Linked DNA regions of Canis lupus familiaris. The protein of the gene in region 1 binds, or shares a complex with, the protein of each later gene. Links are inferred from orthologs where the notes say so. Each region holds a gene or a part of one and is shown on either strand. Other genes may lie near its edges.

The links. The genes of interacting proteins can lie anywhere in the genome.
Region 2: the proteins of ITGAV (region 1) and ITGB8 are in contact, whole or in part, in a cryo-EM structure (PDB 8TCF), measured with the Homo sapiens proteins. The link is inferred for Canis lupus familiaris from reciprocal best matches to the Homo sapiens genes ITGAV and ITGB8. Residues at the interface, in NP_002201.2 of Homo sapiens: Tyr48, Phe51, Trp123, Leu141, His143, Gln150, Glu151, Arg152, Pro154, Phe184, Gln186, Phe189, Pro204, Trp209, Asp249, Tyr251, Tyr254, Arg275, Arg278, Thr279, Gln301, Met302, Ala303, Tyr305, Phe308, Pro328, Leu329, Met331, Ser335, Asp336; in NP_002205.1 of Homo sapiens: Ser197, Pro198, Ile202, His203, Pro204, Arg206, Ile250, Asp251, Thr252, Pro253, Thr287, Ser288, His289, Leu290, Ala291, Leu292, Asp293, Lys295, Leu296, Gly298, Val300, Pro302, Glu321, Ser324, Leu325, Gly326, Gln327, Glu330, His349, Trp350.

The regions. Positions count from the first base shown.
Region 1 is NC_049257.1:29,233,322-29,236,975, reverse strand, and holds part of ITGAV (integrin alpha-V), read right to left. Parts: intron 2,879-3,654; coding exon 2,753-2,878; intron 2,171-2,752; coding exon 2,126-2,170; intron 947-2,125; coding exon 903-946; intron 803-902; coding exon 746-802; intron 1-745.
Region 2 is NC_049235.1:34,460,568-34,464,221, forward strand, and holds part of ITGB8 (integrin beta-8), read left to right. Parts: intron 1-2,552; coding exon 2,553-2,799; intron 2,800-3,654. UniProt on the Homo sapiens protein: Integrin alpha-V:beta-8 (ITGAV:ITGB8) is a receptor for fibronectin. It recognizes the sequence R-G-D in its ligands.

The DNA.
Region 1 (3,654 bases):
TGACCGCCTGTCGGCTGCAGGCCGCTCCATGCCGCGCACCTGCCCCGACTCTCACGCTTGGGGAGTCTATGCCGCGAGCCTGCCGATCCTCCTGCAAAGCCATGCACGGCGTCTCCGGAGCAGGACGTGGGCTCGAGTCCCCGGCCCGCAAACCGCGAGACGCTTCTTTTTCCCGGGCCGCCAAACTTCCCCTTTGTCGTCCCTAAATTCTCTGATGCAAAGAGTAGGAAAGGCCATGAAACGCCTGCACCTGCAGAGAACGTCTGGTACCTGAGAGCACTACCTCCCACCTGAAGAACGCTTTCTCTCACGTCCTCGGGCGAAGTGCGCTCACGACACCCGTATTGTAGGCATCGGCGCCACGCTCCGTTTTGCATCCGGTAGGACTACAAGGCACGGAGGACGCCTTTACGGGGAGTTCAGTGTCATCAGCAAAGAAAGAGGAAGTTTCTGTGCTTTGGCGTGTATGGCGTGTGTGTCTGCAATTTCTGTATTTCCTTAAAAAATGAGCCACGTGCAGCGAAAAATGAGCGTGAAAAACGTGCAATTACAGAAGCCCTTCCTTACACAGAGGACTTTGGCCGGAGGTGAACCCTCTGAAGCCTGCTTTACATTCACCACAGTGACTATCAAACCAATATATCCATCTCACAGTCAACGCAAACCATTAGATCATCCGTAAGTCTACGACGTTAGGAATGCAGATGCTACAATACCAAACGAACAAAGCAGTCTAAGAGCGTACCTGGTCACCGGTGAAGTTGTGCAAGGACGACATGTTTTTCCCATCATAAATATAAACCTGTGGAGGAAAGACAAAAGCATATGAAATACGGTCGTAAAACAGAAGATAACCCAGAATTTTTTTTTTTTTTTTTAAAGATTCCTTTTAATTTTCCTACCATTCCCAAAGTCCTCGCCGCTCTCGGGACACCTGAAACAAAGTCTGAAAGGAAAAACATAATGACTCATTTTTTTTTTAAGACTTATTTTATTATTTATTTATGATAGACATAGAGAGAGAGAGAGAGAGAGGGAGGCAGAGACACAGGCAGAGGGAGAAGCAGGCTCCATGCCAGGAGCCCGACGTGGGACTCAATCCCGGGTCTCCAGGATCGCGCCCTGGGCCAAAGGCAGGTGCTAAACCGCTGAGCCACCCAGGGATCCCCATAATGACTCATTTTCAAGACCAAGTATTGAGAACTGCAAGAAGAAATGGATTTACAGGAGGAGCGTTAGGTCCTGTTTTGTTATTTCAGCAGAAAAAGAAGGTAAAAAAAAAAAAAATCTTTGAAAATGGTACTCCACAATAAAGGGCCAGAACATTTTTTTTTTTTTAACCACAAATATCAAATGTCCACAAAATAGAGAAAGATTCTTGAGAACCTTCAGATAAATGCACGTGCGCCCTTAGGCTTTTGTCATCTTATTAAAAAGAGAAGGGTCAGGATAAAGTGACCCCAGAACAAAACTAAGTTGTATCTACAGTGATGAAAAATAATACAGAGTGAGATGGGGCGGAGGCGGCAGGGACACAGGAATGGGGTCAAGATCAGGGGAGTGTCTGGTTCCTAGACTGAGCTCGGTGGGCGGGGGGCGGGGGGGGGGGGGAGCGGGCAGAGGACGGAGAGAATCGCAGGGCGAGGGCCCAGAAGTCACAGGCGGTGCCTACGAGCCCTCCGACAGGACCCGCTCCACCAGAGCAAGAAGAAGAAACTGAAGAAAAACTAAAACGTCATGGGCTGGAGGGGGGCGCACGGGAAGACGCGGGGCCCCAGCCCGGGCGGCACCGACCCCTCGGCCCGTCCCCGCCACGCTCCACGCCGCCGGCCCAGACCCCGTACCTGCTCGGGCTTCGCAGTGTCGCCTGTCTCAAACCCTTAGGCTCTATCTTTTCAGGACGATCACACAGGGGGGTGCCGGGGGCTCCGGCCAAGCGGCTGCCAGGGCCCAGCTCGCCACCCCGGGGCCGGCAGCAAGGTCCCCCCCCCCAGCCCTGCTCCTCCCTCTCCTCCCGGCGGGGGCCCCCTGAGGCTACCTCTCGCTCTGTCTCTAAAAAAAAGGAAAAACTCTTGGAAAAAAAAGAAGAAGAAGAAGGATTAAATACAGTTTACACGCATCATACCATCTACGCCATCGCCGTTAAAATCTCCGACAGCCACGGAATAACCTAAAGGAACAAAACGGGAACCGCCATCAGGGCACAGTCAGTCCCCTGGCGCGCACCTGCCGAGCAGGCTTCCCTCGAGCGTACTTTCAAGTAGAACAGACTCTTGAACAGGGGCTCGAACTGCACAGGCAGGTTTTTTTTTCAATAAATACAGTATCGCACTGTAAATGCATGTTCTTGATGGTTTCTTGATATTTTCTTTCCTCCAGCTTGCTGCATTGTAAGAGTACAGCACATGATACACACGACACGCAAAATGTGTGTCGCTCCCGCCCTCCGCCTCAACCCGCCCCACCTTTCTCATACACTTTCAAAAAAAAAAAAATTAAAGACTTAAAAATTAGTTTAAAAAGTTATTATTAATCATTGTATAAATAACCACTCTTAAATTTCAACCACTGAAATGTAACCTATGTACCCAATAATAACCTGAAATTATGTGCCTATTCTTTAGATTAAAAAAAAAATTCTTTTTAATCTCTTTCAACATAAATTATTTTCCTGCTCAAAGTAGCATACACAAATACAGGACAAATAACACTGCAACTCCATAAAATGAATCCATATTTTGGTTTAACTCACCCAAATAACTGTCATCAAAAATAGCTTGAGCCGTCCGAGTTGCTAACTGGTTATTATACTTGATGCTGTAAACTTTGGGGTCATATTTAGATACGATTTCTGCCACTTGATCTGAAATGAGCTGACCTGAAAAATATATATAAAATCACTTTTTAATGGGAATTTATGATGCAGAGGATAGACGGCACCTGCACACACACATAAGGATAGCACTAGAGATTAGTGTTTGTAATTATTAGCCTTAAACAACTCTCCATAATAGTAAATCTGAAATTTGATATTTTTATAGTCACAATTACTTCTCTTCAAGCTAGTTCTTACAATTAGTCACAGCGAGGAGACAAAAGTTTTATAAATGCAAGATCTGTCTTAATGCACAAAAGAAATTGATGCTAAATAACTGGAGTAATAAAATCAAGAGCTGTTTCCCAAATAAATCCATTAGAATTTGAAAAACCTACTGAAATGACTAAATATCTTTTTTACTTTTACTAATTCTTTTCCCCCACAAATCATTTGGATACCTTTATGGAAAGGCCTGAATGGGTGAGTTCAATTCTTTTTTTTTTTTTTTTTTCAGAACCTTAAAGTTATCAGGTAGACAAGAAATCCTGAGCAGTACACAAAAATCAGATTGTGTTTCCTACCCCGAGAAAGGCTGGCTAATTTATCAAACATCACCTCCCTACATGAAGAAAATAATCTCTTCATTTCTGCCGTTTCAGAGACAAGCTCATAGCTAATGTTTCTCAGTCTGTCCCAATGGTCCAGTCACAAAGGTTGAGTCCGCAGGGTAGGAACACGCTCTGCTGCGGGCCACTTGCTTCATCCCCTGGGCCTAAACAGTACCTAACACGCAGCAGGAATCCAAAAAATACTTCTTGAATCAAAGAACATGGGAA
Region 2 (3,654 bases), on another chromosome or scaffold:
AAGTGACCCAGGTACAAAACTGAGACAAGCATCTATATAATTCAAAATTAAGAGCAGCCTAAACCTTCCAACCTTGACCATTTGGCAGGCTTTCTTACCACCATCTTCTTTGTTGAGGCCAGTGAGACTAGGAATTTGCTTGCAAGGTTAAGAGAAGCTAGTGTGTGCTGAGGCCCCCTATACGGCTAACATTTGGTTGGACCTCCCTGAATATCTTTGTCCTCTAAGGACTGTGCCTTTACAGATTCCCTTGGCTAAGATAACCAACCAATTTTATAACAACCTGCACAATACACTAAATATCTGGTAAATTTTGCAATAACTCCATGAAATCACATAGCCATTAATCTTTAGACAGAGCTACCATAAACTGTAATGATCACCAAGATGAAAACACCATGTGACCAGTGCCTAAGGTCTTTAGCCTTATACCCAAGTCAACAGTTAAAAAAACGACCATCCAATTTGTAAAAAATTAAAAAAAAAAAAAAAAAAGCAGCAGCTGATCCACATATTAAGCCACATGAGCCATGCTCCCTAATTATGCTCCATTTCTATTTCTTATTGATCTGGCCCTGTCTAGATTCTGACTTTCTCCTGAATTGAACTTCTCCACCCAAATTGCAAGACACTTCCACAGGGACAGGTCTTTTTACCAGACACTGGAAAAGCAGAGCTGAATATATGCTCTTTGGAGGCAGCCCAGCTCATAAAGGAAAGGAGTGAGAGAGTGGACTAAGTGGCCTTTACATCTCCCAAACTCTTGGGCCAAAAAACTGAGTGTTACAGTAAAAGGTTTTCCAGCACATACAGGCAAATTAGGAATGAGTAATTTATCCCATAATTATTATTACGTACAGAAAAACCTTATTTTGAATATATTCTATAACTGATTTTAAAAACATCTGATTTGTAAAATAATTTAAAAGACAATGTCGCTGCTTTTGAATACATTAAGACTGAAAATATCTTAAAGTATCTTCTGGTAGGGAATCCCTGGGTGGCGCAGCGGTTTAGTGCCTGCCTTTGGCCCAGGGCACGATCCTGGAGACCCAGGATCGAATCCCACGTCGGGCTCCCGGTGCATGGAGCCTGCTTCTCCCTCTGCCTATGTCCCTGCCTCTCTCTCTCTCTCTCTCTCTCTCTGTGTGTGTGTGTGTGACTATCATAAATAAATAAATAAATAAATAATAAATAAAATATCTTCTGGTAAGTAGATCAGGCTATCAATTGTATATACAAATCGGTGTTCATTAAAAAAAATTGTTCTACACTAATTACTCTCCACTGACAAATAATGACTTGCAAAGCACTTACTTTATTGTTTAAAACAGTAAAGTTCACAAATTGTCCATATTTACATAGATGACTTTTTACTATATACTTACAGACTTTCAATTATGGAATGAGTAAGACATGAGAATAAAAACACAGTCTAAGGAATACAGACAATGATACTATAATAGCTATGTAACAAGACAGATGGTAATTATACTTGTGGTGAACACAGCATAATGTATAAACTTCATAAACCTCTAAGTTTTATATGTGAAACTAATGTAACATTGTGGGTCAACTATACTCAAATAAGATCAATCAATAGATAAAAATAATTTTATTTATTTATTTATTTTATTGATAAAAATAATTTTAAAAACTAAATACAGAACTACCAGCTCCACAGAGTGCCATATCCTTGGATACAGTGATATAGGTCCTTGTATCAAATGATAATAGACAGAAAACCAAATAAAACTGTCTTGTACACAGTTGTTGGGAAGCTCCCACATTTCCCACTCTTCACATCTAGTTCCTTTGCCTCTATGATCCCTCTTCAACATATGTTTATCAAGCACCTACTATGTGTTAGATAAATATTGTTCCCTACATTGCCCAGGTCTCTAGTGTGGCACTGCTCGGTACAGTTCTTTAGACGACTGTCTCATTCTTCTCATCCCATGACTACTGTTGGGAGGAATCTCATCATCTAATTCATAATGAGTTATTACTTAGTTTGGATAGTGTAACATACTACTCAGTACCAGAGTTTTCACATCTCATATGTAAATATGCCTTAACCTAAAAGGATGAATTTATACCCTCATCCAATAAGAGGTAACTTTCTTAAGATGCCTTTCTACTTTTCTTCAAACCAAAAGCCTCTTTCAAATCAATACAGCCACCTACTCTTGAGACAGAATGCTGCTTGCAGTATTGTGCTGTGCTTTCCTAGATACTAAAGGAAGTAAGTTCATATGGGGATAAATATATTCTCTACTACATTTATATTGAGCATAGAACTTTATGGTCCGTTTGTTACTATCACTATCTGCACCACGGAATTGTGAGAAATGCATTGTATAAGTTGGAAACTAATAAACTGATACAGATTTCAAATTGCTTTAAAATTATTCCAGGATATTCCTAACTTCATTCATTATGCACAAATTTGTGCTAGTTGTTATGTATATAAAGCATGACTGATTTATTGAGAGCTTATCCTGAGATGTTAAAAATGAATACTACATGATGTCTGTCTTTCTTTGAACCAGAAGCTGAAGCTAATTTTATGCTGAAAATTCATCCTCTGAAGAAATATCCTGTGGATCTTTATTACCTGGTTGATGTCTCAGCATCAATGCACAATAATATTGAAAAATTAAATTCCGTTGGAAATGATTTATCTAGAAAAATGGCATATTTTTCCCGTGACTTCCGTCTTGGATTTGGCTCCTATGTTGATAAAACAGTTTCACCATACATTAGCATCCACCCAGAAAGGATTCATAATCAATGCAGGTATCTGGTGGTTGGTGTGGACTTCATAAATGCCAAATTAATTTTTTCTTATAAAATCTCTCTGTTTTTATATAAAGGACTTACTAAATTTTATATTTTTGTTTTATTAAGTGAGAAATGAAAATATTTGGAGAGGAGGTATGTTCCTATCTGAAAATTTATGAGATTATGTGTAGCTTGGAGTTTCTATGTTTTTTCAAATATCACTCCGTTTCATCACAAAAAACTCACAAATAATATTAGTCATCTTGGATAAACCTCCAATATTCAGGCAAACAGGCATATAAATACGTGTTTGAGAATTCTGTATTTGTCTTCAAGCTCCAAATTTGTTAAATTAAGGTTTGTCAAATTTAAAGTACTTATATTGCCAGTATGACAACTATCTTTGTTGCTGCTATGTTTATAATTATGTTACCTAAGATGGGATTTCAAAGAAAGCTCAGCTAGGACATGGAGGGTAGTTGGAAAGATGAGAATTTGTCTGTTTTCTGGAAAGAGACGCTTTTCTTATCATTTTGAAAGTCTGATTCTAAATAGCATATGGCCCACCATGAAACAAGAACTGACCTTAAAAATACAAGTTTCTCAGACAATATCCTAATTAGCCTGTTGAGTTCTCAGAAATGTATTCAGTTCCTCTTTAATATAACATTTCATTTTAACATCTTCTTTTCTACTTCCATAAGTTGCCCCAATAACTTTATAGATAATCTACCAAAACAGCTCTGCTAACTGTCGGAATGAATACATCTCCTCATGGAGCCTCATGTTCCTTCTCCCTGAACATGCATGTGCCTGAGGAATGATTTTCACTTCTTGGGACATCACAGGATTCTCAAAGTAATTTTAATA